2 linked regions of the Arabidopsis thaliana genome follow. The protein of the gene in region 2 purifies or fractionates together with the protein of the main gene of each other region. This does not show direct contact. Each region holds a gene or a part of one and is shown on either strand. Other genes may lie near its edges.

Region 1 (3,921 bases), on a different chromosome or scaffold from region 2:
TCGGGAAAATTAAACAAGAACAAACGAGCGATAATGAGGAAAGATTCAGAGTCTTTCAAACTGGAGATTCCCTAATCAAGTAAAAGAAGACCATGAAAGAATCCGATTCCAAACTATGAGAAAAATCAAAGCGTCGAACAAAATTTCCCGAGAAAGATTTTCCCGGAAAATAATCAAAAAACGAACAATCAAGCGATAATGAGGAAAAAGAATCAAGAGTATTTTACACTGAAACTCTATAACTAAGTAACCGAAGATCATAGAAGAATAAGTTTCCAAATTGAGAGCAAATTCAAAGAAAACAAAAGTTTCTCGCGTTTTCCCGGAAAATGGAGATTTAGAATTGCGACTCCATAACTAAGACTCATAACTAACCTCTGCTTCTCGGCGCGATGATTTGTGTGCAAACTAATCTGATTTTTGAATTTTTTCAACTCTGAAGCAATAAATTTGACTTTTAAAGGCGTTTGGGCCCATTACGGAAACAACAAGTAATTAACAAGAGAACAGAGAACCGCATAGAGAGAAAATGTTAAGATCAAGGAAGATTCACCAAAGGCCAACAAATATATATACCAAAAAGCCCAAGCTCCAATTGGGCCTGGTCCCCATGGATTTGATTGTTTCGAATAACAACAACACCTCAAGCATGATACTGCAAATTTGGTGCTATCATGAGGTTTTTACATGTTTTGAGACTATTATGCTATAATTCAAATGATATGTCGAAAAGTATATAACCTAAAATCGTAGTTAGTGCTAAGATCAAGGAGTAATTTGGTTATGATTCATTTAATGAATGTGATTGTTATTATAAATGATGGAGAAGGTACCAACTCTCAAGTCTGAAAATAAAAATCCAAATTGAATCCAGAGTTGAGAACGTATTTGGTTTTTCAAACTGAATTAAATCCAAAACACACTCAAACTCGAAAAGTCTCAACATAAATTTAACGACACAAAATAAACTCTCCTAAGGAAATTATAAAATGATGCAAAGGATTCGTCACCAAAGGAACTCCAATCTGCAGAAGAACTTTGCTTCATCTTCAAAGGTCTTGTACACTCAAACCTGAAAAAGTGCAACATAGTCCACACCTCAGAACACGCGTACAACAGATATGAGAATGAAGATACTTTTCAAAAACATAGTAACATACTAAAGCCAAAGCAAAGCTGGGTTTAGCAATCAAATGCCAAACTCAGAAAAATTTACAACGGAAATTGTGTGATGAAGAAGCTTACTTTAACGTACATAAATACTTAGCAAAATTCAAACAATGAAACTCAAGGCACAGCTATATTTAAAGTCCATATAACATAATGAATCCAATAATGTTGAATGTTGCAATACACACGCAATGTAATTAAGCAAAGACAGGTTGTTTCGAACCCATATGCCAAACTCAAATTTCATCAAGGTTTTAAAATGATCTAAAGTGTGAGAATTTATGCAGTGTAGTAGAGAACAATGTAAATTGAGCAGAGTTAAGAAGAATAAAAAACCTGGAGGAAGAGACTGCTTAAGCTTGTCGGCTTTCTCTTGGTCAAAGACGCAGAGCGTGTAGAGGTACCTCGAGCATCTGACCTTAAACTTGACAATATCCTTGCTTCTCTTGATCTTCACAGATCGTGCATCTTTCCTTCTAGCTGTCAGAAGGAAGTCCTTGATCTCGTGGATTTGCTTAGGCTGCAAACATTAATCAAATTAATCAATCAAAATTCAATACAAGATTCAATAATCCCAACCAATCAAAAGTTAATCACATGATAAGCAGACACGAGCTCAGCACATCAAACACATTAAGCAAACTCTGACCTAGGTTTTTGGTTAATTCACTAAAACCTACACGTTTCACTATATCCTAAACAAAGTAAGAAGCAATAATCAAAGCTGAAAATGATACAAAAATCTACATTTTTTGAGAAAACTCTTAAGATACAGGAACAGCTCTACTACACTATGAATGATTGCAAACGAGCTATGAAAACCAAATCATAAGCATCCATGACGGCGATATGAAACGAAATCGAAAGACCGAGAAATATTGTACCATTCTCGAATCTGTTGGTTGAAACTAGCCGCCGTCCACAGAGAGAGTCGAGCGAATTCGCCGTCGCGAGGATATAAAGAGATCTCTTAAAAACTTTGTATCAAGAAGCCCTAATTCGTAAACCTGAAATTCCATATTTACCCTCTGGACGATTTATCAAACAATGGGCTTTAAGGCCCAATCATATATCGCTTTAATGTCCCTTCACAGTTTTGCCCAATTTACAGTTTGTCTTAACACTTTGGTCCTCATATTTTCTTTTCATACCCTAATCATAACAAGATCAACCACAAAATCCTTCTTAGAAAAAAAAAAAATTTGATTTTTTTTGTCACAAGAAAAGAAGCGTTACAAATTTACACTTGTTGAAAGAAAAAACGATTCAACTACAAGAGAAAGTTCACAAAGTCCTAAAGACACAGAGATGTTTACAGGTGCGGTCTTAATGCTTCCAGGCCATGGAGTGACCATCCTCCATGTAAGGCTCAAGAAATCCAATGAACTGCCAATAAAAATAAACAGCAACAAAACAATTGATGATCAGACACGTCTGAAAGATACATACTTCAAGTCTCAAAATATACATACTTTGGTTCCATCTCGAGACCAACGTGCTCCATAGCCTTGAGCTACTCTTATCTCGAACACTTCACCATGTGGTGGAACGATATGTATGTTCATCCAACAACAATTGCCAATGAACCGATTGATTATGTCCATTGCACGCTCATTTTTATCTGAATCTGAGAAAAGGAAGAGGAAGACTCAATTATGGAAATGCATCAGTGTCCTGCAAAAATTTGTTACTTACCAGTTCCCTGAAGAACACCCCAAAATCCATCGCTACTTCGATCAACATGCTTGGCTAATGCTCTAGCTCCATGGCTCAATCTACAACCTTTTATCTCAACAATAGGAAAAAAGAAAGATTCTAAATTTGATCTCACACAACACAGCTTAACCATTCCCCAAAAGATTCACTACGATGTCTCTCGAACTATATCTTAGTTTTTGTGGTACCTTTGGCTTATATGGAAGCATGAATGAAGAGAGTAGCATCGATCTAGGAGGAGGCAGAGCATGAAAAATGGATCCAGTTGTGTGAGATAGACCGAGAAGGTTTTGCACGCCAGTGTAACTCAAGCCCTGCCATTTAAATGATGTTTTTGTAAGAAACATTGAATAATAAGAATCATAAATCACAAGGAGAAGGCTGAGAAAAACTTGAACTCACAGACAGTATGTGAGCCAAAGCAACACAAGGCTGAGCAACTGATTTACTAAGATGGATTGCCACAACACCATTGAAATTCTCTTGATCCGTATCATATAACTTCCTAAACATTTGCATACCTAAAAAAATTTGAAATCTTTGAAACAGAAGTTAATGGCTAAGGATCAGACAAAGAAAAAAGCTTACCTTCTTCCACTGTTTTAGTGCCAGGAAACACTTTCTCTGAACTCTCGGCTTTCAACAGCTCGTAAAAGGATGCATATTGGTGAAGTTCCTATATATCAACATTTAAGAGAATCAATCACAAGAAATCGTTTGCAGGAACACAAAAGCATGATGTCGGCAAATATATCTCACCAGAACTTCAAACATTAGACATTTATTTATCATAACCATTGAACCTCCTCTCCGAATTCTGAGGAAACCAAACAACATTTGTGAACACAAGAGACACAGAAGTAATCCAGCTCAATAACTTTTCACTTCTCCTACCTATCATACTCTTCTTCAAAACACCTTGCTTCAACTGTTTTGATGCCATCTAATATATCCATTTAAATTAAGCAACCCAAAAATCTGATCAAGAACTCTTACCACTTGATATTGACATTGCCAAGCTAAAAAGAGGAAGTT
Region 2 (3,486 bases):
GATTTTTGGATCAGAGTGGATCGCTATCATGGCTTGCTCCCTCTCCATTGTCGGGCTACGAGATAAGAAGAATGATCATAGACGATGGTTCTGGTACTCTTGTGTTGTTGGATCTGCATTGACCATCTTTTGGCTTTATTACTTGCTGAGGTACACTAGAGAGTATACATTTCTTTTCTTTTCGATACAATCTTGCACTTCGCAAACTTTCATTATTATAATGCCATTGTTAGTGGCATGAATCCTTGTGTTAGTCGTTTATGCTGTATTCAACATGAAGGACATTTCTTGTCTATTCCTTCCATTCGTGCTCTTTGTAAATTTATGCTTATAAATCTCACCCGTGTTCTAGGCTTCCGAAATTCCGGTGGGATGCTATCTGGCTTCCGTTTGGGCCGCTTTGGTATGTGTATCTATCGCTTAGATATAACCTTGTGTTGTTTTATATGCCCCTGTGTATGTAAAACTAAAGTTTGCATCAACTTTTCTGTACTTCGAAATTGCAGTGGAGCTGGAATTTGTCTATACGTGGACCATCTTCTAGAGGAGTCATCTGAGGAAGTGAAAAAACTGAGGAACTATATGTATGCATATAAAGCACGGTAGAGAGATAATAGCTACTTTCAAACCTCGTCAGAGTGAATTTGTGATAGCAAGAGTGCAAGTTTTGACTCTATTATCCCCTAAAGAACATTCTTCTGTTGTTGTAAATAGATACGAAACTCTGAAGTTCGTTTTGTTTAAAAACTCATGATTGACTCGAACTAGATTCCAGTTCATACATGTAATACTCTTGATTTATTCAAGCAATTCACTTGAGAGAGGTGCATAAACTTATTCATAGCTGCAGATATTATCATGATCGAACCAGATGCTCAAACTTTACCGAAACAAGTGTAAGGATTGTTGAAGACTACTTACGACACAAGACTGAGATTCTGTCTCAATCGCATACTATGATTCAAGGCTTAAGGATTCAAGAAGATAAATGTTCTCTCCAATAAAGATTCGAAAAACAAAACTCGAAAAATCTGATCAAATGTTGTTGTTACTATAAGATAGTTTAATCCTCTTCTTCAATGATCTTAGTGCCGAGGCCAGAGAGTCCTTCAGCAGGGATTTCAGCAACAGTGACAAGAGAGAAGAACTCTTCCTTTGCATCTTCATCATCATTTCTCTTACGAGCAACTCGGACTCTGATTCTCCTCGGAGGACCTCTGATACCTTTGCTCCAAATCTGCTTGTTCAATTTAACATCCACTCTCACATCCTTTGTCCCCATTTCCTTCTCAGCAAACTTCCTTATCTCCTTGATCGCCTTTGGAGCCTTCTTCTTAAAGGTACTAGTTTTACACACAAAGAAGATCAAACATTTCAATGTCACAATCCATAGAGAGCAATCGAATTAAAACATTAGCTAAGAGCTCATTATCAACATTCCAATTCCACTATCTAACAGTAAAAGCTTTGAAGCAATAAGACAAAAGTGTTTTTGGTGTTTTGGAAATTACCAGCTATGAAGGCGTCTGTGAAGGTTGATGGTGTACTCTCTGGTCACCACCTCCTCTTTCCTTCCCTTCTTCTCCGACATTTTATGTTTCTATCTTCTCTCTTTACCTGAATATATCAAAACTCAAATTCAGTTTTGACATATGATCTTAAAGACGAGATTAGCTCATTTTACTTTGTCACAAATTTTAAAAAAGGAGATTAAGATAAGAAAGAGAAAGGGATGAGAGTACCTTCTTCTCTCCACAAATGCCGAAATACAGAGCCGGTGGTGACGGAGAAGGATGAAGCTTATATGCGGCGCTCTATAAGAAGAAGAACTAACCCTAGTTGATTTTATGGGCCTTTCATCTACTAGACCTATATTTTTATGGCCCAACTAAGTGTTTCTTAACTCAAAAAAAAAAAAAAGAGTTCCTTTATATTGTGATTAACGTCTAACGATTTTTAACATTTGATAATTTAACTTTGGATAGTTTTTTTCTTATTTTTGAACAAACGTTGGATTTTTTAACTTTGGGTGAAAATATCTTGTTCTGTTTACTGTTTATATCACAAAACTAAATTATTTAATATACATTGTATTAAAAGCTAGCAAACTATATATCAATGTGGGCGTTTGGTCTAGTGGTATGATTCTCGCTTTGGGTGCGAGAGGTCCCGAGTTCGATTCTCGGAACGCCCCATTCATTTTTTTACTTTTTATATTAGATTTTAGAGCAATGTTCAGAATTTGGAGTTTTGCCAAAAGACACAAAACATAAAATGAGTTGTGTTTCTTCGTAACTGTCTGTTATAATCTTGAAATTTGAAGAAATCCACAAACTTGATAGAAAAGGTTCACATTCACACAGGAACCAAAATATCACATAGAACAATAACACTCTTGCATCACAATAGCTCAATATAAAGGGCTCACAATCATATGACCCTAAAGATCACAAAGAACAACAATACTCGCTCAATATAACCTCCTGCAAATAGTGATACCATCGCCAAGCGCAGCTTGCGAGATCTGCACACGCTGATCAGCCGAGAGTTTCTTGTTCAGCTCGAGGGTTGCTTTCTTGACTTCTATCCTCCACTCGGGCGTGGACGAGTCCGGTTCAGCAACTGATCCTCCCCAGAGAGTGTTATCATACACTATGATCCCACCAACCTTGATCAATCTAATAAGCCTCTCATGATAGTTCCAATAATTCAGCTTGTCTGCATCCACAAATGCGAAGTCGAATCCACCCTCATTCACTTTCTGCATCACAAACATCAAAACAAAAAGACCATCTCAGGATACATACTAATTCTTTTTTTGAAAGACAAAGAAGTATGAAGTTGTACATTGTTTAAAAGCTCGTCGAGGGCTGGAAGAGCTTCAGACTCTTTGAAATCAATTTTGTGTTCAACACCAGCTTTCTTTATAACCGGCAATCCTATTTCATACGAGTCTCTATTCATGTCAATGGCGATAACCTGCAGAGCTCGTGTACCAAATCAGTTGCAGAAATGATACAGAAGCAAAACAACGAAAAACATCATGACACTTTTTCTTTTGGTTTGGTCATATCTATGCAAATACCTTGCCATCTTCTGGTAGCGTAAGAGCAGTGAGGAGAAGAGAGTATCCAGTGAAAACCCCAACCTCGATAGTCTTTCTTGCATTTACCAGATTCAGCAGCATCCCCATCAACTGGCCAGCGTCTGGTGCAGTAGCCATACCAGCTTGAGGGTGGTTATGAGTAATGTTCCTAAGCTCCCTGAGAACCTCTGGCTCGCGTGGGTACACACTAGTCTCCAGTATATACTACAACATTTTTCACAGAAATGTATCAGAGAAATGGAGAAGTGAACTAACGTAGAGATGAGTATGTAAGGACAAACTTTATAGAGCTCTTCACTTTTCAGCAATCCCTTGGCTTCATCCTTAGCCATTGTGTCTCACAATCTTCGTTCCTCAAACACTGTAAAGTCTCTGCTCAA

Evidence for each region.
Region 1: the proteins of AT4G26230 (region 2) and AT2G43460 fractionate together in Arabidopsis thaliana (co-fractionation; one large-scale study listed by BioGRID). This does not show direct contact.

What each region holds. Positions count from the first base shown.
Region 1 is NC_003071.7:18,045,236-18,049,156, forward strand, and holds AT2G43460 (Ribosomal L38e protein family), read right to left. Parts: upstream 2,167-3,921; 5' UTR 2,058-2,166; coding exon 2,055-2,057; intron 1,691-2,054; coding exon 1,507-1,690; intron 1,073-1,506; coding exon 1,050-1,072; 3' UTR 730-1,049; downstream 1-729. Other genes in the region: AT2G43465 (RNA-binding ASCH domain protein), read right to left, coding at 2,497-2,556, 2,643-2,797, 2,866-2,959, 3,075-3,200, 3,289-3,407, 3,475-3,562, 3,646-3,703, 3,781-3,829.
Region 2 is NC_003075.7:13,284,131-13,287,616, reverse strand, and holds AT4G26230 (Ribosomal protein L31e family protein), read right to left. Parts: upstream 1,881-3,486; 5' UTR 1,743-1,880; intron 1,618-1,742; 5' UTR 1,592-1,617; coding exon 1,512-1,591; intron 1,344-1,511; coding exon 1,064-1,343; 3' UTR 826-1,063; downstream 1-825. Other genes in the region: AT4G26240 (histone-lysine N-methyltransferase), read left to right, coding at 15-150, 353-403, 507-606; AT4G26220 (S-adenosyl-L-methionine-dependent methyltransferases superfamily protein), read right to left, coding at 2,471-2,761, 2,848-2,979, 3,086-3,310, 3,388-3,438.